Notamacropus eugenii: one gene and its partner. Each later gene encodes a partner of the first gene's protein in a complex. Links are inferred from orthologs where the notes say so. Each region holds a gene or a part of one and is shown on either strand. Other genes may lie near its edges.

The links.
Region 2: the proteins of CAST (region 1) and CAPNS1 are in contact, whole or in part, in a crystal structure (PDB 3BOW), measured with the Rattus norvegicus proteins. The link is inferred for Notamacropus eugenii from reciprocal best matches to the Homo sapiens genes CAST and CAPNS1. Residues at the interface, in NP_445747.2 of Rattus norvegicus: Pro652, Ile653, Asp654, Ala655, Leu656, Ser657, Asp659, Leu660, Asp661; in NP_058814.1 of Rattus norvegicus: Phe103, Leu106, Gln109, Leu110, Ile125, Lys128, Val129, Arg132, His133, Leu136, Phe166, Trp170, Lys174, Gln177, Lys181.

What each region holds. Positions count from the first base shown.
Region 1 is NC_092875.1:442,071,719-442,083,177, reverse strand, and holds the start of CAST (calpastatin), read left to right. Parts: upstream 1-7,096; 5' UTR 7,097-7,732; coding exon 7,733-7,813; intron 7,814-8,358; exon of another isoform or gene 8,359-8,511; coding exon of another isoform or gene 8,512-8,541; intron 8,542-11,459.
Region 2 is NC_092876.1:33,186,701-33,197,215, forward strand, and holds the start of CAPNS1 (calpain small subunit 1), read left to right. Parts: upstream 1-5,479; 5' UTR 5,480-5,609; intron 5,610-5,969; 5' UTR 5,970-5,980; coding exon 5,981-6,198; intron 6,199-6,972; exon of another isoform or gene 6,973-7,170; intron 7,171-10,515. Other genes in the region: TBCB (tubulin-folding cofactor B), read left to right, coding at 17-113, 373-564, 1,233-1,305, 1,473-1,593. UniProt on the Homo sapiens protein: Regulatory subunit of the calcium-regulated non-lysosomal thiol-protease which catalyzes limited proteolysis of substrates involved in cytoskeletal remodeling and signal transduction. Essential for embryonic development.

The DNA of each region.
Region 1 (11,459 bases):
TCAAAGTTAACCTTCCTACTTCCAGGTAACCACATGAGAGGTTTGGGGCCTGTTTACAATCATGTGAAATCTAGAACTCCTGGTATTTTAGTATGACTTGGCATTTCTTGTTCCTTACCTACGGGGTGACAGCAACAGGGCAGCAGGATGCTGTGGCCATTGAAAGAAGAGACTGTTTCCACCTGGCGTTCTTTCCCCTTGACATTCCAGGTGGGACCATGCAACTCCAAGACTTTCACCCTAGGCAAGCTTGCACTTGTGACCTTGGTTTTTATTTTCTTTATTTGTAATTATTCTTTCTTGATCTTAGGCAAAAAGTATAGGTGCTGAGATGGATATGTCTAGACTTGGGGATAACTGTGCATCTGAGAGCTCCAGAGTGCCTAAGCCTCAAATGATCTGAACTAAATGTCAGCTAGAGAAGGAAACCCTGATGCCTATTCCTGTGTTCTTGGAGAGGATTAACCATTAGCAAAATGATCAGTCTAAGGTTGGCTGTTTTGACAGCACACATGTGCCAGTAATTGTTTGGACAATGCAGAGACAAAGTGATATGCAAAATGTCTAATAAGCAGTCTTTTCAAGTGCTATGTTTTGATGACACTTGAATCAGTATCAGTAAGTATAGTCTCCCAGTAGATTGTAACAATAGTTATGTTACCAAATCCTGTTTTAAGTTATACTGCAAATGCACGCTGTGAGTCTTTCATTTAGCATTTTTTGTTAATGTAGGAATAAATTACCTGTCCCATACCTGTTTCATACTGTGCATTAGTAACTTTTTACTCCCAATTTTTGTGAGATACCTTAGATATAAGCTTTAGTCTAAGTCAGAGACATCAAACACACAGCCTAGGTGGCACATGCAGCCCACGACACTCACAAGTGACCTGAATCAGATTTAAATGTAGTTATCTGATTTTAATGTGTAGCTGCATCAATTTAAAAAAGAAACATAAATGTGTGTGGTTTTCCAGGTCAATTTGCAGCCTGATGGGATCACAGATTATGTATGTTTGAGTGGCTCCCAATTCTGTTTGAGTGTAACATCACTTGTCTAAGTTATAAGCCAATTTGTTCCTTGGGCTCCATGGTCAAGGTTTAAGAAGATGAAGAGTGTAAGAAAAGGATGCTTAATCTCTCTCATTAGAGGAAAGGCTTCCCCAGGAATAAGCCTTATCAAAATCACATGCCTGAGTATGTTACAGGAAATGGGTGTGGTACTTGTGGGTCCACTGTGGTTCTTTAATATTAGACACCAATCAAGCATGATTAGTAAGACTGTTTACAGCTGTTGAAAGTTCTGGGCATGGAAGAGCCACACAAATCATTCTAGGATCCTCAGGCCAAAAAGAACTTGAGAGATGATCTTCCTTTCCTTAGGCAAAAGTGTTTCTAAGCTATGCCAGGCAGGTGAAGATCTCTCTCTCTCTCTCTCTCTCTCTCTCTCTCTCTCTCCCTTTCTCTCCTCCTCTCTCCCTCCCTCCCTTTCCTCTCATTTTAAAAGGTCTCCAAGGAGACTCCCCTATATGACACATTCCTGTGTTTAACAATTTCTGCTTTTTTTATATGTATTTTTAAAATTTCTGCTGTCAGGGACTTCTTCCTCATTTCACCTCCTGCTTTCATATGGAGAAAGTTCACTTTATTTTTTTCCTAAGTGAGGGGGAAAAAATAATATAAACTCCTTAGCCTGGCTTTCAAAGTCCTCTAGAATTTAGTCTCATCTGACTTATCTAACATTATTCCTATCAATCATAATGCAAAATCACAGATGCTAAATAGATAGTAGTAAATAAGAACTGAAACCCAATAGTTTAGTTAAGGGGCTTCAGCACAGACATTCAGTCAAGGCAATACTTAAAAAACAAACAAAAAATAGTACAATGTATTTGACAAGAAGTCCCGAAGCATCTGCTTGCAGAAGCTCTGATAAAGAGGAACTCCTTACCTTTCCCAAACCCCCATTAGTTCAGATTTATGAAGAATTTAAAAGATTTATAAAGTACATTTTTCACAACAGCTTTGTGAGGTAGATAGCACTGGCATGATGGCTACCATATTTCTTTGCGGAAACGCAATGACTAGTCTCAGGTAACAGAGCTAATGAGAACTGGAGGTGGGATTTGAACCTTTCTCCTGATGCTAAATCCAGCACTCTTTCTACTATATTATGCTAGCTGTTATTGTTCTCACACTTATAAATGACTTACCTGAAAGTGTATCTTCTGTAATTAACTCTTTTTAAATAAAATATGAAATATTAGCAGCATGGAGAAATGGGAGTGGGGAGGAAAGGAGAAAAAGTAGAAAGCAATATAGAAAATGGTAAAGGGGAAAAAAAGAATAAGCCTAGTAGAAGGTATGACCTCACTGCTACATAAAGAGTCCTCATCATGTCACACCTGGACTTTTAAATAACCTTCCAGTTATTGTGGGTTGGTTCAAGTTTCAGATAAAATCCTACCTTCTGTAAGAAGCCTTTCTTACTCTTCCCTAATGGTAGGTCCTTTCCTCTAAGTTATTCTTCAAATACTTGAACACAGCTGTCATGTCTCTCTGAGCCTTATATTTTCAAGACTAAGCTTCCTTAGTTTTTCCAAATGATCTTCATACAGCATGAACTCGAAGCCCTTCACAATTCTAGTTGTCCTGCTCTGGATAATTTCCAGTTTATTAATATCTTTCCTAAAATAAAATTCTAAAGGTCTGACCATGGCAGAGTACAGCAGGACAATGGCCTTATTCCTAGAGGCTCATACTTTTCTTAGTACAATTCATTATTGAATTAGCACTTTGGGCTCATATTTGATTCATGTTAATTTTGTAAGATCACCAAAGCTTTCCAGATCTTTTTCATACAAACTGGTATATTACGATGTCCCTTATCTTGAAACTTTGAAGTCAAATGTAAGCCTTTTGTCCCAACTGAATTTCATCTTCTTAGATTCAATCCAATGCTAAGCAAGATCTTTTGGAATCCTGATCACCCAATGTGTTAGCTCTCTTTCCAAATTTGCATCCTGTGAAATCTGATTCATCCTGTCCTCTACTCTTTACAAATTTACTCTTTACAAATCCCTCTATTCATCCATTTATGTAAATCATTAATAAAAACATTAAGCATTATAAAGTCAGATTTCTGGGGAATTCCACTGAAAAGTAAGCACCTGCTAAATAAGCGCCATGTCATTAACTTAAACTATTTAGGTCTAGCTATTCAATCAGCTCTGGATCCATCTAGCCCACATATCTCAATCACTTGCACAAGAATTGCATGAGGCACTTTATCAAATGCTTGGGTATAATCTAGGTAAAATGTATCTACCACATTTCCCTTTAACTACCAGGTGAGTAGACCTGTCACTAAAGGAAATAATGTTAGTGTTGCCTAACTTATTTGTAACAAAGGCATGCCAACTCTTTGTGATTACCAATGGGAATAACCATAGCACCTTATCTCCCAGGGTTGTTGTGAAGATCAAGTGAAAAGACATTTGTGAAAAATTTAGCACACTACCCGGCACTTAGTAAACACTATTATATTTTATATAATTTCACCAGAAATTGAAGTCAAGCTCACTGGCTTTGGAGGCTTCTAGTCTCTTCCATTAAAATTAAATTCAATTAAAAAAGTAAAATTGGGACATTTGCCCTTCTTCAATCCTGTGGTACCTCTCCCACTGTCCATGATGCTTTAAATATCAATGACAACGGTTCCACAGTCATATACCACCAATATTAGAAGTACCTAAATATATATACAGTAGTTCTTCTTTGCCAAGTGACTTGAATATATCAAGAGAAGCTAGGTGATTTCCCTACCATCTCCATATTTATCTTGGGTAGTTACTCTCTACTACCTCTTGTGCTCTACCCTTTACAATCCAAAGACGATTTCTCTTGGCCAGAAAAACAAAATAAAAATGGAAGAGCTCTGCACGAAACTGTGCTGACTGGGCCCATTACACATTTATATTATCAAATCTGGAGTTTACACTTCAGCAAGGAAAACATGTAACTCTTTCCTAACTCATGTTTCCTCATCTTCATGATTGTCCTCCCCTGAGTACATTCCAATTTTACTCAGTTCTTCTAAAAGTGGCTCCCAGAGATGAATAAAGTGCTTTAGATGTGGTTTGACCAGGGCAGAATGTAGCAAGATTATCCCTTTCCTTGTTTTGGATAGTGTGTGTGTGTGTGTGTGTGTGTGTGCGCATATGTGTGCATGCACACATATACACATGTATATATATATGTATATGTATATATATAAACATACACATACATACATTGTAGATAGCCAAATTATAAGATAGGAGCATCACTAAGAGAACTTAGAAAATATCACACATGAATATATTCTAGAACATCTGCTCTATTGAGTCCTTGCTGCTCCATCATGTCCACAGACCTCACTGAGTTCCTTCTCCTTGTTATTTCTATGCATTCTTTGTAATATGCAGAATATTACAACTGGTCCCCTCAAAGCAATAAACTAGCAGTCTTCTTTATGTCTGCTTTTCTTTAATATCTGTCAGATATTACGGAGTCAGCTTTAGAGCTAGAAAGAACTTTAGAGATCATCTAAAGATCATTTCACTCATTTTACAGGTGAGGAAACTGAGGCCCCAGGAAATTAAATAACTCACCTAAGGTATACAGACATCAGTGACAGAGCAGGCCAGATTTGAACCCAATTTTAGTGTTTTTTTTCTATTGCACTATTCTGCATTTTGAGAGTATGTTGTGCAGTTCTACCTGCTCTGTCTTCTACCTTTGTGCCTCATTGTTGTTTCTTTCCCCTAAGGGACATGCCTCCTACTCCTATGTCCCCTTGCCCGTTGAATTTGGTTAGTTCATAAATGTGTATGAACTCATGCAAATACACACACACACACACACACACACACACAATTTGTCTTATATTTGTCATAAGAAGGGGAATACATTTTGTAATCCCCTTTATCATCATTTATTGGCTACTATGAAAAGGTCTTAGCCTAAAAGGCCAAGGTCTCCCATTGCATCCTGGGCCATCTTTGGTCATCCTGATGAATATCTGGTCACTGGATCCAGATGGCTCAGGAGGAGAAAGTGAGGCTGGTGACCTTGCACAAGCCTCCCTCACTCAAAACAAAGTCAAGTGCAAGTCATCATTTTTCTGATATCATGGTCCTCTTCAAAAATGAAGGATGAACACAACCTGTGAGTAGGCCGAGCTGCCTAAAACGGGGACCCAGCTATCTGGGTAACCCCTTTCCTTCCCTTCCTTTACCTTCCTTCTTGTCTCCCCTAAAGCCTTGGACCTTATGTACTCTGAAGCCCATGGATTTAACAGTGAAGGGTCCCTGCCCAACCTCCACTCAATGGCTGACTTAGAGTGCAAGTCAATAGTAACAGTTTCTCTTCAAAACAACCACCCTGAGACTCCTGCCCCTCCCAGAGTGATTTATCTATTTATTTTCTTATTTCTATTAAAGGGGCCATCCTCCTGGCTACTTTTTAAAGACACCTATTCACTGAATGGGCATTACCTCACTTTAAGTGAGTACCTGGAAAGGCCTTAGCCTAAAAGACCAAGGTCTCCCATTGCATCCTGGGCCGTCTCCAGTCATCCAGATGGCTCAGGAGGAGAAAATGAGGCTGGTGACCTTGCATAGCCCTCCATCACTCAAAACAAAGTCAAGTGCAAGTCATCATCTGTCCGATGTCATGGTCCTCTTTGAAAACAAAGGATAAACAACTAACCAAGCTCTCTCACTCTCCACAGCAGTTGTTCCAAACCTTGTCTCTCCTTAAGCCTATGAACATGATCCTTCCCACCACCCTTTCAGTCAAGGACCTCACACCTCAAACTTTGAGATTCCCCCAAGCTGACATCATTTCAGCAGAGCTGTTCCTTCTCCTATCTTCCTCGTTTCATTACTCAGGCATCTTCCTCTACTATCCTTTCCTTCACTCTGGTTTCAGATCAAGAGATGGCCCCTTAAATTTCCCAAGACAAATCCTTCCACATGTATCCTTGCTCCTTTTCCCAACTTTTCCAACGAACAGCCCCTATCATCCCCATTCTCTCCAATCTTCAATCTTTCCCAATTTACTGACTCCCTGATAACTAAATATATGTGCCTATGTTTCTCTTATCCTTAAAACCCCTTCACTTGATCTGACCATCTCCTCTAGCCATCATGCTATATGTCTTCCTCACTTCATCTCTCAGATCCTTGAAAGAGCTATCTGTAACTAGTCTCTCCCTTTCCTCTCCTCTGACTCTCTTTTAAGCCCTCTGCAACCTAGCTTCCAACCTCAATTCAAACTGCTCCTTCCAAAATTACCACTGATTTCTTACTTGCCATATCTAATGGTCTCATCTCAAGTCCATTCATCTTAACCTCTCTGCACCATTTGACAAATCTTACTTCTCAGACATTATCTTCTTGATCAGCTGTTGGTTTCCTATATCAGTTTTCACTCTTTAGATTCTGACTTTTCAGAATCAATCCCAGCAATCTTGTCCCTCCATTTCAAAGATGAGATGCACACACGACTACCTATGGCTTTTAGGGGATGCTAACTTTAAGGGTAGTGAATGAGATGCTTTTTGATGAAATATCCTGCTTTAATTTCTCACAGAGAATACTAATCCATATCTGCACGCTAGAATGAAGGATCCAAGGGATTTTCTGAATCGCTAAAATAAAAGAAGCCAGAACTCAGTTCAGTCCAACTTCAACATGAAAGCAGGCTTCACTTTTATCTTCCCTCCCACAGACCACAATATAGAAGAGGAAGGGGAAACTCTGATTTTGAAAACAAATAAATCACAAAAATCCTCAGGTTTGCCTAGCAGGTCTGAACATGAAACAGTGCCCACCTCGGGCTGGTATATCTCCAAAAGAGACTTTTCTTGCTGTTCCTGTTATTTTCACTTTCAACCCCCAAACCAGGAAGTAAGTGTTGTTTAAAACCATCGAAATAAGCCAAGCAATCAAATCAGAACCAACCAAGATTAGGTTTGAGGCTGAAGTTTAAGACCCCTTCTTAATGGACTGGAACCAGCTCCCTTTTTTCCCATCGAAAGTCATCGCAATTTGCTTAGTTCTTGATCCATCGATTTGCCCAAACTTCCCAAAGACGGAGGAGGAGGGAGGGATCCACACAGTCCGATTTGCTTTTGTGTTGTTTTAACTCTTCAATCAGAGTTCCAACCCGTCATCAGAGTCCAAATGACAACTCTTTCCAGAAGGCCAAGCCAAGGTGGAATCCTAGAAAAGGTGCTAATTCTTGGAATGCCTAAGGAAGACCAGAGAATAGGAGGGCCACGCCCCGGTCCCGCTCCCTGCACAGTTACGAGATCGGTCCAGGCAAGTTGAAGAAAGAAACCCTAAGAGGCCGGCCTCCAGCCCTGCTGCCCCTCCTCTCCAAAAGTACAAAGAGCACTGGGCAGAAGAGGTTTGGGGGAGGGAGACAATTGGGTGAAGGCAGAAGAAGGGAGTGGATCAGCAGCATCGGACACCCTAGAAAGGACAGTGGCGGGGGTAGCTGCAGAAACTAGCGGGTGCAGGAAGGGGAGGGACTTGCTGGGGGTGAGGCCCCAGATTTGGCTCCAGGGCTCGATCGGAAAAGCTGCTTCACTGTTGCTTGTACTGCCCCTTTCCTCCCTTCTCTCTCTCCCCCTTCCTGCCCTCCAGTCACCGCTGCACCCTCTCTGAGATCTGCAGCTGTCACCATGTCTCAGCCGGGGAAAGGCAAGAGGCCCGCAGCCTCCCCCCGGCCCAAGCGGGCTGCCGCTGCCCGGGCAGCCGAAGGGGTAAGTGGCTTCTTAGACGTCCCACCCAGGAGGGGTGGGCAAGGTGGTAGAGAGTGGGGAGGGGGTCAACCACAGCCCTACAACCTCCGGACTCCTCCCTCGGCTTTGCCCAATCCGGCTTGCGGCCAGGACACCCTCTTGGGCAAAGGGTGGGGGTGCAGGAGGATGGGGACCGGGCGTGGCTCGAGTTGGAAGCAGATTCCTGGGACCCGACGGGACTGCGGGAGCCCGCTGGGCGTGGCGCGTGCCAGCCCAGGGAACTGAGAGGGTGGCTGGCGGAGGAAGCAGCTGAAAGTTAGCCACAGAGAAAAGGGCACCGTGGGCCAGGGGATAAAGGCGAAGTCGGCTTCCCTGGAGATGCCCAGAATGCTGTAACCGAGCCATTTCTGCCCTGTTCCATGCCTGTCACACCGCCCTTCCCCCCCCAAAATCCGAAGCTTCAGGGCGTGGCTGTCCCGGGAACAACACATCCTCCGGTCTCTCCAGTGTGGCCGAATCTGGCTGACGGGGCGGGGCCCACGGTGGACCCCGCCCAGTGCCTTGCCCTCCCACCTGGCAGCTGCTAGAAGAGCCAGGAGTGAAGTGCCAGCTGAAGCCAGGCGCAGGTGAAGACCTTAAGCCGGCGCGCCTTCACGCACACGCAGCTCCTCACTTAAGCCTGTCCTTCGCCCGGTTCAGGGGATTTAGCTGGGCTTGTCATGGCTTTTGCAAGCTGGTGGTACAAGACGGTAAATATGACATGGGGCTTTTGTCTTGGAGGGACAGGAAAGACGGGTGTGTTCACTTTGCTCTCCCAGACCTGTAGGGGAGACATTGACTATTTGGTGATCAGGAAGGGGTGGGGAGAGGATGCCACTGCTTCTCGGGACCTAAGGTTAAGCTTCAGAAAAGACTCACCCACTTGTGGTATTTGTGTGTGTGTATGTGTGTACATCTGGCTTGTGTGGCTGCTGCCTGCCCTCCAGACAGTCTGAATGAACCAGGCTGTAGAAGTGGAAGAATTCCCCCCTACAAACCTGGGAATTCCTGGTTTGAGAGAAGGTGGAGATTCACCTGATCTCAGATACAGGACAATGAAAACAAAACAAAACAAAAAAAACCAACTCTAGGTACTTTTGATTTAAGCGAAGGCGGGCATCCAGAAATCCAGGACCACCTCTTTTTATTTTATTTTACTTTTTAAGCCAGTAAATCAGGAGACCTCCAGGCAGTAGCACAAAATGTGAAATGGTTTGTGTGCAGGAAGGGATTGAAGGTGTTCCATTTCTTTAGTACTTCGTGAATATCTTTCCAGCTAATGAGCAAAATAATCAAGTTGATGCTTGCAAAGTTGTGGAACCAGGAACTGTGATTTAATACCGTATTGTGGGTTTTTTAAAATGTTGGCGCAAATGGGTTAGCTTGATTCAAGTTTTGTTGACAGCTTTGCTTCATGATAGACAGTTCAAAAAACTGGTTATGTGTGTACCTTATGGTTTTTCATGGTGAATACTTCCTATTCCATGTTTGCCAGTATAATATCCTCTTAAATATACTCAGTAGAAATTTGCTTTGGATAAAACTTCTCAATTCTTTTTCTAAGGCTCCGTTTAAAATGTTGAATAAATGATGTATAGCTAAGCATACCATAATTTAGACATGATAAAGCCAAAGTTAATATCATACTTTGCTTTTTGCTGAGTTATGATTTCCCAGGTAAATTATGCTGGAGTAATAAAATGAAACTGACTTAAATTTCTCAAATCTTTTTATTTTTTTTTTTAAGTTTAGTACTCCATCTAATCTCTTTGTAAAACCTATTATTGTATTCAATTTGGGGACTGTTCTGTATATTTTACCCTACTTGGAATATCTCTGAATTAGCTGTAGTAGCTAGAGTACTCTGCTGAAAAACCATTTGTTTCTTCCCCCTTGACACTTATTAGAGATTATTTCAAACACTTTTAGGTGAGTCCTTTCGTAGGAGAACATTGTTTAATAAAGTTCGGGGAAAAAATGTGAGTAGCCCAACTTTACATATCAGAATAAGTAAGATAAACTCATAGAATATGTAATCTAAGGAGTGTTTGTGTGTAGGAAGTGCTAGCTAGAAGAAATCAAGTGAAATTGTTTAAGATAAAATATTGGATCTCAAATTTCTACTAACTATAATGGCTAATATCAACAAAATTAGCAGTATATCAACCTTATATTTTGAAAAACTCTAATTTGGGGGATAGGGGACTGTTGGAAATGCTAACATTAAATTATATTTTCTTTGTAGTGATAATGCATAGACTAGTTTAAATTTAGTTTGTACCTATAATCATCCTCCAAAGTCATGAATTGCATTGATTATAGCAAGTTAATTAGAGGTGTTTAATGGACCTAATTAGATGCATGGGCTCCAGTGACAGCATTATCAGCACATAGTCATTTGGAACTGGACAGCCAGGCTGGTAGGAGTGTTGCAAGCACTCTGTGACTGCACAGTCTGGCTTCAGTAAACCTGAAGGATTAAGAAATTTAAAATTACAGTCTTCAGATATTTAGGGTAAACAAATGGAGCACATAGGCTTTGAGGTGAATGCCAAAGAGAAGGAAATGTCAGAACACAAGTTTCCCATTTTAGTTGCTAACTGAGGAATAATACAGGGACAACCCTGTTCACAGATGAGGTTTTTTTTTTTTTAATTGGCAAGTTATATCCTTATTATATTATTAATTTTAATTAAGTTGCACATATCCTCCAACAACAATTTTCATATACAAGTTCTTTTTAAAGGGGCAATGTAGTTCTTGAAGGTTTAGAGAAAGTGGGTGGCCATGGACTAAGCATTGCATACATCTTTATGTTTGTCCAAAGACAAGCTGATTTTCAACTCAAAGGAAGACAACTCGTACCAAATATAACTAGAGACTTTACATCTCTTCTTCATTGTTGTCGTTTAAGGCAGTCTAAGACTATTAAAATTCAACAGATGTGACTTTCAAGTTCATTTTCTACATGGATTTTGTAGATTTCTTAATGATAACTTACCATGAATGCTTCACACCTATTAAAATAATGAAAGAAAGAAGTGCCTTCTAATTTAAAAATCTGATCAACCTTCTTTATTTTTTTTATTGCTTCCTCAAGCATGTATAAATCATTAACATTGAGGGAGTGTGAAAAGTTTTCTAAAATTCTATGGGAACTCTTTTTTTCTTATCCATTAGAGCTTCATTCAGCTAATTAGTAAATAAAAATAAGGCAAAGTAAAGGACTATCGAAGTGAACGTTCATCATCAATATTAAGAAGCATTTATCAGACATCTGCTGTGTGCATGATGCTGTCCTAGGTGCTAGAGGCACACAAAATGTAACAACAGTCCCAACCCCATCATAATGGTAGAAAACCTAGCTGCAAACCCCTTCTCCCTATATTGACCTCCCCTTAATTTTTTTGTATTTCAGTTCTTTTGAGATTCCACATGATTTAATAGAAATTTAAACCCAAGCCTGGGTGTGACCATAGACTCCACTCATGAGTTGTTCAGTGCTGTCTTTTAAAAAAAAATAGAAAAATGTGATACAAGCTCCATTCAGGATCACATGGAATCCCAAAACAGAACTACTGATTTTAGCAAGAATTTCCCTTTGAATTCAATGACCCTGACTTCAGTA
Region 2 (10,515 bases), on another chromosome or scaffold:
CTCTGTCTCCCCACAGGTCATTGACCGGAGTGGGGCCCGTCTGGGTGAATATGAGGACCTGTCTCAAGTGGAGAAGTTTGAGCTCTCCCAGTCAGCCTATGAGAGCAGAGCTGGTATATGGGCATGAGGAAAGCTTGGGGAATGGGGGAGCATCTGGGTGAGTGGGAAGGCCATGAGAAATTTGGGGGATGAGATTAGAAAGTGAAGGTGTTGAGAAAGGGGCCCTGGTGTAAATGGAAAAGATAGAAAATGGGGGAGAGAAGAGACTCAGGCCTGGATCACAGAGATGGGGGGGCAAGGAAGCTGAAGGGGCCTGGGGATTGGGGGGGGTTTAAGTTTAGGGCAGTGACCCCCTTGACCCCTGGCCTCCAGACTCCGTACGCTCCTTCCTGAAGCGCAGCAAGATGGGCAAATTCAACGAGGAGGAGCAGAAACGACGGGAGGCTGAAGCGGCCCAGCGACTTGCCGATGAGGAGGCCCAGGCCCAGGCCATCGCAGTGGGCAGCCGCTGCCAGGTGCAGGCAGCCGGCCAGCCCACCAAACGGGGCACTGTCATGTTTGTGGGTGAGTCAGTGACCCAAGGGCAGCACTGGGCGTGCAGATGGGCATTGTGGTGCAGTGGGATGAAGGTGGGGCCTGTTGGGGCAGGGGCATTTAGTGAGTGGGCAGATCACTTCCCCGAGTCTCAGATTCCTCATCTGATGAGCAAATACTCATGAAGTATCTGCCCTGTGCCAGGCAGACCCTGGGGGCACAAAGACAAGGCTCCCAAGCCTGCCCATCAGGGGCTTCCATTCTGGCTAGGAAAAAGACACATACAGTATCTAAGTGTGCCTGAACAAGGTGGTTTCAGAAGCAGCTGGGGATTAGGACAGGCCTTAGAAAGCTGAGCTCCCTAGGAACCTGGAACTGTTCATAATCGAAGAGAAAGGGGAGATGCTGCCTGGTCAGCTGCATGGACAATTTGTTCGAGTCACAGAGGTGGGTGGTGCAGGGGCTGCAGTGATAAATTGTGATTGAGAACCCCTGGAGATGAATACAGAGGGCAGGGACACAGTCTGGCATCTGTGTGATAGTTGAGAGCTTATTGAGGAGCCAGAGGAGGGGAGGGCAGGAAGTGACAGCCCCAGCTTCTCTGCAGAATGGGTCAGTCCCCCAGGCTAGAGAGACAGGAGCTGCTGTTGTGGCCCTGCCCTTAGCTGGGTCCTGAATGAGCTGCTTCTTGTGGGCAGGACTCACGGATTTCAAGCCTGGCTACTGGGTTGGCATCCGCTATGATGAACCGCTGGGGAAGCATGATGGCAGGTGAGGCGAGACACCCTGGGACTCTCTCTGTGAGTGTGTGTAGGAGAGTGTGTTTGTGTGTGTGAGTGTGGGTGTGTGTTTTTGTTAGTGGGTGTGATTGTGGGTATGAATGTGAGTGAATGTGTCCGGGTAGCCCTGTGACCTCTTTTAGTCTCTGTCATCTGCAGTGTGAACGGCAAACGCTACTTTGAGTGCCAGGACAAGTATGGTGCCTTTGTCAAGCCACACACGGTGACCGTAGGAGACTTCCCAGAGGAGGATTATGGACTGGACGATGATGAGATGTGACCCCCTGGTGGGGGTGGGGGGTTACACACTACTGGGGGGGTTGTCCCCTTGGATGCAGCCTCCCTTTCTCTTCCCCACCCTCCAGCCCGGGCCCCTCCCTCCTGTTTCGTGTCTGTGGTGTATTCTCTCTTGCCTTCCCTATTTTGAGTTGTATTTTTTATCTTATTTTCCCCTTGGCTCTTGTGAGGTTGTGAGACAAGTGAATTAAATGCCTCTGAATCCCTTGGAGGCAGCCTGGGTTCTTGAGGGCTAGGGAGAGGGCATTTCATTGCTGAAGATTGTGGGTGATCAGGGAGGGGAGCTTGGGGTAAGGGGGCCCTGAACAACTGGAGGAGCAGCAGTGAGTCTGACAGGGAGGCTGGCCTTCACTTTCCTCACATCTGGTCAGCCCCGAAGTGGCCTCTGACCTGCTGACTATCTGGGCTTTCAGAACAACTTTTTAGGGGTTTGTTTGGAAGCTATTTTGAAGAGGAGAGAGACTGGAGGCAGGTGGCTCATCTTTAGTGTGGATTTCTTGTTCTTCCATCATCTGCCTCTCCTGAAGGCCTTTCCTACAGCAGAATAAAAATGAAAACAAGTTAACCCATCAGCATCTGCAGCGTTCAACACCCATAATCCCCTAGCTGTGTAGAGAAGGGGGGGAGGTATATGCTCGCATCTCTTCTTTTGGGCCAAACTTGGTATCATTTTATACTGGGGAGATCTTAATAGAAAGCTGCTGAAATACAGCAGCTAGAGGGTGCCATAGTGCTGGGCCTGGAAGACTCTTCTCTCTGAGTTCAAATCCCACCTCAGACACTTAGCTGTGTGAGCCTGGGCAAGTCACTTCACCCTGGTTGCCTCCGTTTCTGATGAAGAGTGGGACCCAACTAAACAACAACAGTTGAGATAGAGGTAGCTCAGTTTGTAGGCAGGAAGTCTTGAGACTCAAGCCCTACCTCTTATACGTTAGGGCTTGGTGACCTTGGGCAGGTCCCATCAGGCCCTTAAAGTGACTAAAGGGTTCTAACTGCCTTACTGGGAGGTCTCCACGATGGTGAGGTGAGTGGTTTTTCTCCCCTCCCACCCCCATGTTAAAATAAAAGGTTTAAAACAGTGCAAGTGAGACCATGCTTTCCTTTTGTCATTCTTATCAGTTTGCTAAAGTTTAAAGGGAAGCCTTGGCATTATTTTGATTGGCATTTTTCTAATTCTTAGTAATTTGGAGCATTCTTTTATATCGTTAGTAATTGACAGTTCTTCTGAGAAATGTCCAGATTGCTTGCCCACATCTCTGTTGGAATTACTTTTGGCCTCTGATGTTTCTGTTAGGTTTTTACATAGTGTGGATATGAAACCCACATCAGAGATAGCAGACGCAGATTTTTTTTTTCTCCATAGTCGACTGCTTTCTCTCTTTGCATTAATTTTGTTCATGCAAAACTTTTTAATTTCAAGTAAGCAAAATTAACTCTTTTGTCATTTCCCTTATCCTTTGGTAAAGACGTTACCTCCTCCAAGTTACATAAAGCTCAAGCATGACTCCAGAACAGTTAAGGATGCTGCCGACGCACCCCTGCCCTTTGTGGAGCTGCGAGGACCACAGCTCTGCGCCCTGATGGTTAAAATATATTCCATGACTGTGCTTTTTCTTTTTTTGCTTTAAAAACCATTTGTTATGTGAGATGCTTGCAGGGAGGAGGAGGAATGCTAAAAGAAAGAGCCCACCCTTTATCCATATCTGTGCAAGGCATGTGATGAGCTTCTAGTTTTTTTAAAATTCTTTTAATCTCACCCTAATCAGTCAACTGGCATTGTTCCTCCTTCATTGCCGAAGACTACCATGTCATCAGAGAAATGATGACCTGACTTGCACTTGACTTTGTTTTGAGTGAGGGAGGGCTGTGCAGGTCACCAGCCTCACTTCTCCAGAGCCATCTGGGTCCAGTGACCGGATATTCATCAGGATGACTGGAGATGGCCCAGGATGCACTGGGAGACCTTGGCCTGACCTGTGCAGGTACTAAGTTAGGGTGAGGTAAAACTAATCAGGGCCTGTTCCCTTTAATGAGGCAAGGAAGAGGAAGACATCAGACTGGGAGGGAAACAGCAACACTTAACGTTGATAATCACTCTGAAGCCCGGAAGGTCCAGAAGAGAGCCTTTAGGCAGGGGCAGGAGCCCCATGGTGTCTGAGTTACGGAGTGCAGTAGGCTCAAGGTTCTAGGCTCAAGGTTCTGAGAAGGGTAGGGAAGGGAGGCTAGCCAGTAAGTAAAACCCAAGTCACCTGGGCATCTTTTGGCTATCCAAATTTACCTTCCTTTGGAGAAGAGAAGAAAGGGGGGAGGGGAAGGCAGACAGGAGAGGAGGGGTTGAGTTACCCAGCTAGCTGGGTCCCCATTCAGCCAGCTGGGTCTGCTCATAGGATTGTGTCTGTGCTTCGTTGCTGAAGCAGACCATGCCATCAGAGAAATGGTGATGTGACTTGCACTTATCTTTGTTCTGAGCGAGGAAGGGCTGTGCAGATCACCAGCCTCACTTCTCCAGAGCCATCATCTGTGGCATAGTGGAGATGGGATGTTCAGGAGTCGTCAAGACCTGTGTTCCAGAGCTCTCCAGCCTCTCGGTGCCTCTAGGCACTAAATTGCAAAGGGTTCGCTGGAGAACTAGTGGTGGGAATGCTTTCATCTGGGAGCTCCCTACTTCAAGGAAATGGCAGGTCTAGCTCCACTCCTTTGGGCGTTTACATTCCGGTCACATGTTCATTTTGAATTTATTGTGGAGTATGGTCTGTCATGTTGGTCTAAACCTCATTTCTGCCAGACTTCAGTTTTCCCACTAGTTTTTAAGAGAGTCTTTTCCGAGGTTACGCTTTCAGACGTCGATGGACTTCGCAGCATTGTAGATGGCTCAGGCTTTATCAGTCTCTGCTAAGAGCCAGGCTTTGTCCTGGGACGATACCGGGGAAACCCAAGGATCCTGTTTGTCAGCCTTGGCAGCGGGGCTTGGAATGTAGCAGACGCTTCACAAATGCTTGTTGCCGTTCCATTGCGAACGATCGATCCCTCCGCACAAGTCTACGTTCTGATGGGGGACAAGGGGAAAGGCATGGGTCCTGAGTGAGGCACCTCAGGGGGTGGCCGGACCTCGGGGGGCACAAGCGTCCAGAGAGGATGGACAGGGAGGTGGGGGCCGGGGGATCCAGGGCTTCGGAGGTGAAACCAGCCTTGGACGTGGCCCAGGGGCAGCGGGGAGCCCGGGGCTGTGGACCGCGGTGGTCTCACGCAATGGGACGGGCAGGACTGGAGGAGTCGTGAGGAGAGCGGGGCGAGCCCGGAGTAGGGAGGCCCCTGCTCCCATTGCCCCCTTCAGGAGGGGGCATTACCGTCATCACTGGCCTCCGACCAGGACACGGCCCCGGGGGGGGGGGTCCCCACTTCCGCGTCTCGGGCCGGTCCCGGGGACTGAGGAATGAACCAGGCCCCGACTTCCGGGGGCGGGGACAGAACGGGGACCGAGGAATCACCCACGCCCCGAGGGGGGCCGTTTCCTCTGCCCTCCTCCCTCAGCTAGACTGGGCCGGTCCAGCGGCTATGCCCTCCCCCGGCCGCACCTCCGGGGACCCAGGAGTCCCCCACCCCCTCGCGTGTTCCGCCCCGCGTGGGGCCCGAGAGCGTTTTCCGAGTCACTGGCTGGGGGGAGGCGGGGATGGGACTCTTAAAGGCGCAGGCACGCCCTCGCCCCGCGTCTCTCCGGGACCCCGCAGGGCGGGAGGGCTGGGCCCGGTTCCAGGGAGCAGCTGGTGGGCGGGGCGCCCGGGTCCCGTTATGCAGCGGGAAGGGGAGGGGCGGCACCGGACAGTCTGCGAGACGGGCTTTAGGACCACGCGGACGCCCGGGGAAGGCACATCGCCTCGGGCGGGGCCACCCCTGAGTCACCCCGGCCCCGCCCGACCGTCCTGTAGCCGGACCGAGAGGAGTCGAGCAAGGAGGGTAGGAGGCCAGACCGCGGCTGGGGAAACTGAGGCCGAGATCAGGGTGAGAGCGCCCCCCGCCCCAAGTCCGGGCTCCCCAACCCCGCTCGAGTCTCCCCCAGCCTGGCCTTGAGTCCCCCTGAACCCCGGCTTCAGTGCCCCCTCCCCTCGTGCTTCCTGACCCCCCTACTTGGGCACGAGCAAGAGACCCTAAGGATCCCCCACACCCGCGGAGCACCCTAACAACCCAGGACCCCTAGCCTTGACTCCCGGAAGCCAGCCCCGGCCTCCCCTGAATCTCAGTATCCCCAAACCGTGCCCCAGTACCCACCCTCCTCGGGACCATCAGGAGCGGGGCCCCCGACTCCCCCTGACCCCCCGCCCCATAGCTGACCGCGGCCGGCGTCCTGACTCTGGCCCCCAGGTCCCGGAGACATGTTCCTGGTTAATTCATTCCTGGGCGGGAAGGGCGGCGGCGGCGGGGGCGCAGGCAGAGCTCTCGGGGGGCTGCTCAGCGGCGGCGGCGGCGGTGCTGGAGGCATCGGCAATGTCATCGGGGGGCTACTTAGCGGAGGCGGTGGCGGCGGCGGTGGCGGCGGCGGAGGAGCTGGGGGTGCCATGGGGTTCCTAGGCGGTGTCATCAGCGCCATCAGGTGAGCGGGGGCTGGGGGAGCTCAGCCTGGGGGGCCCTGGAACACTGGGGGCCTCGGACATGGGGAGGTCCTGGGATGTGGGGAGCCCTGAGACACGGTGGGGCTGGGATATGAGGAGCCCGAGACATGAGGGGACCTGCGATACGGGGACCCTCAAACATGGGGAACCCCGGGACATGTAGTGGGGTCCACTGTTCCGTGAGAGGTCTGGAGACTGGGCCGGAGCGCGGTGGTGAATAAGCATGAGCCATCTTAGCCAGCGGCAGTAGAGTCATGGCAGGTATGTGGCAGAGGAGGGGTCGCCCCACCTGGCTCCGTATACCTTGTGAGGATCCCCGGGTTTGTGGGCTCCAGTCACAGCCCAGCTCAGCAGAGCCACGACCTCCCATTAATGAGGGGGGGGTGGGACTCCATGGTCTTAATGTTGAAAAGAACCTGACACTTATCGGTGTGTTGGGATCTCTGGAAGGGGCCTCACTAGCCCACTTCTTCATCACTCATTTTACAGTTGAGGAAACTGAGGGCTCACAGAGTCACACTGCATCAATCAGAGGGAACCCAGGATCGCGCAGTGTCGCAGGAGGTGGGGACGGGGCATGGACAGGACTCGGGGCTGGTGGACTAAATCACCCCTCCTGCGGGGAGCCTGGAAAGATACACAGCTTAGATAAAATGGGAACTCAGCTAGAGTCTGGTAGGAGCCTGAGACACCGAGGGTCAGCCCGACACATTCCAGGGGGTCTTGTGGGGTCTAAAGAGCATTCTCTCTTTGGGAAGCAGCTTGGTTCAGAGGAACAGGGTTCCCGCTCTGCCTCTGAAATTTCATTTGTGTGATTTGCGGCGTCTTGTCTCTTCTCCAGGCCTTAATTTCCTTTTCTGTAAAAGGGGCCCGGACTAGGTGATCTCCTAGGCCCATTCCAGCCACATATCTATGGTTCTGTAATTGGAGACTCCGAACTTGCATAACAGAGGGTGGGTAGGGGCTGAGCAGCTGGGGCTGGGGGCGGTCCCCAGATGGGGTCAGAGCTCAGGAGTCCAGGAGGGGGAGGGGGCAAAAAACAGTCATGGCTGGAGAATAGAGCTGGTGGAAAGGAGTCTTGAGTCAAGTCTGGGAAGGTGAGGATTTGGAGGCAGCTGGGAGCTGATGATGGTTTTTGAGCCTGGGGAGTAAATCCAGGAAGCATCTTGCCCTGTCCCCATTCGGTTTTATCCGTTTCCTTTTGGGCAGTCCCTACTGAACCGGGTCTGCCTGGGGCAGAAGACTTGGGGGGAGGACCAGGGGGTACCATCTGTACCTGAAAAGGTACTCTGTACCTTCCCAAGGCTGTAGTCCCCAGGGCAGAGCAAGTCAGAGTGGTCATTTAGGGAGGAGCCAGGGAGAAGAAGGGGGTCTTGGGGGTCAGCTGCTAGTGGGCAGTAGGGATGGAGGACAGAAATGCAGCCGGGGAGATACCGAGTCAAAAGGCAGAGAATGCTGGGTTACCCTATCTGGGTGAACACTAGTCCAAGGGAAGGGCTTTCTAAGACTGGGAAGACAGGATACTGGTGATGGAGCAAGCTCTCCCCTGGGTTTCAGAGAATCCTGGTCCTCCTCTTGGGTCTGCCCAGCCGTCTCTTTGCATCCTTTGGTCCCTGTTGCAATTTTGGATGAGGGCAGGCTTTATCTAAACCCAGCAGGAAAATGTGACTTGTTGGGGACAGGGGCTATTTCTTTCCATATTGATATGTTTTGCCCAGAATAGATGTTTAATTGAATGCCCAGATGTATGGGTAAGAGATACTTCTGTCCACAGTGGAAGTGGGTGGGTGGAGGAAGAGGAGAGACACACTGTCTGGGGATAATTTTGAGCTTTGAGCTGTAGATTAAAAGAAGGATGATAAGTAGCCCTGGCCCTAAGAGGGGGTTCAGAACCGGGAGCCATTTTAGGGGAAAGGAAAAGCTTGATTTGGGATTTATTGAGATGGAAGGAAGAAATAGAAGAAAAACATTTATTAAATGTTATCTGAGTGCCAAGCACTGTGCCAGGCCCTGCCCCCACTCAACTGTAAGTCACAGGGGGCCTTAGGTGTACTTGTAAGTCAGATGTTGGAGGTGGATCTGGACATGACCCAGGAGGACCAAGGAGGTCACGGGGGTCTGCGGGGTAAGGGAGGAGTAAGCGTGGTATCAAAGGACCAGCAGACCACCTTGGGGGATGGTTAGAGGACCTGCCTGGGAGGCAGGAGGATCCAAGTGTTCAAATACTGCCTCTGATCTTTTCTCACCAAGCTCACCTAAGGCAGGCCACAGGCCACAGGCCACGGAAGCGCTAAGACAGTCACTTATATTGGTGGAAGAGATTTTCCCCACCAGTGAGAAAGTTCCCTGTAAATGTTGAAATCATGGGCCCAGACCAAGATAAATACATAGGTAATTTTCAGGGCTTTTTTTTAGTCTGGACAGGTGACATCTTTGAAGCTGGGAACTCCCAGTATGGAAGGCCCCCTCTCCCAATGCAAAATATAATCAGTTTCATAGAGTTGTTGGGGCCACCAGGACAGTTCACACAGGGTCACACAGCCCCTAAGGCATCCTCAAGACTTGAACCTCCCAGGTCTTCCTGGCATTGTCTACACTGCCTTTATTTAACATTGTTGTTCAGTTGTTTATATCTAACTGTTTGTGATCCTGTTTGGGGTTTTCTTGGCAAAGACACTGGAGTGGTTTGCCATTTCCTTCTCCAGATCATTTTATAATTGGGGAAACTGAGGAAAATAGGGTTAAGTGGCTTGCCCAGGGTCACAGTTAGTATCTGAGGCTAGATTTGAACTCAGGTCCTCCTGATTCCAGGTCCAGCATCCCCTGGGCCACCTATCTGCCCCTTATTTTACATATATATATAAAATTATAATCAGTCCTGTCCACCAACCCAAATGTCACACTCCACAGTTCTTACAGGCTTTATCATCATTTGAGGCAGGAAGCCCAGAGAAGTTATCCAGTGAGAGAGGGTCAGAATTTATGTGTAGAATGGGTATTGGATTTTTGCCTTCTCAGTGGGTGGGAGAAGGGTAGAGGAAGAGAGAAAATTGGGAACTGAAAATAAAAATTTTAAATTTAAAAGGGTGTGGATCTGAACCCAAGTCTTCCAGCCTCTTGAGTCTTTAGGCATCCAAGCCTGGGTGACAGACTCTTGAGGTCTGTGGAGGGCAAGGTTGTGTCAGTTCTGATTCTCCCCATTGCCCAGCACGGGGCTTAGAAAATGTTTAGTCAGAAGTAGTAAAATCCCATGAAGGAATGGGCAGAGGGATTGTGGTGAGTTCAGTTTTGTGTGTGCATCTGAGGTGTGGCACTGGACTGTCAGGTGGAAATATTTTTTTGGTTGTGGGAGATACAGGACTGTGACTGGGGGGAGACAGAGAGGGAGAGAGACAGAGACAGAGAGAGAGATGAAGAGGACAGAACTTGGGGGTGAGGGATGCCCATGTTTAGGATGTGGGAGATGGCAAAGGATCCCTTAGCTATGTAGGGAGAGGGGCTTCTCTGAAGGAGACAGGAGGGAATGGTGGTGAACATAGACAGGGCACAAGGACTCTGTCTATGAAGGGATCACAACATAATAGATTGAAAATTGGAAGGAACCTGAGTCCAATTCCCTCATTTTACAGATAGAGAAACTGAGGCCCAAACTGACTAAGGAACCTGCCCAAGCTGGTATAGCTAGTATAGATCCAATTTATTTTTTAAATTTCTTTACTTAGATCTTAACTAATACAAAAATAACTCAATCTCTTGATATATAAAACAGAAAAAAAAAAGATTTTGCATGAAACAATAGATGCTTTTTTCTCAGCAAAAGCAGAAAACCTGCAACTTCCAAAGCTGTTCTGCATTTCTGTGCTTCCTGACCCTCCTGTTTTCTTATCTGCAATTTTTCAAACTGTGTCTCAGTGACCCTCTTTAACTTTGCCTTCTCAGCCCTCTTCTCTTTCCCCCTCCGGCCCACTATCATTGGGAAAGAAACAAAAAAGAAAAATGGCACTTGGCACTAATATGCAAAGCACATTCCCATGTTGCCTTTGTCTGAAAATGTGTGCCTGGCCCTGCATCCCAAGGCCAACCCCCCACCCCATGGTCCTCTGGAATCCTGGCTGGTCCTTGTGTAGATCAGAGCTCTCAAAGTCATTCAGAGTGGTTGTTCACTGTGTAAGTGGTTCTGGGTCTGCTCACTTCCTCTGTGTCAGTTCCTACAGGTCTTTAGAAGTTCTCTGAAACCACCCCCTCATCACTTCTTACAGCACAATAGTATTGTCACATTCATAGATCAGAACTCCTTT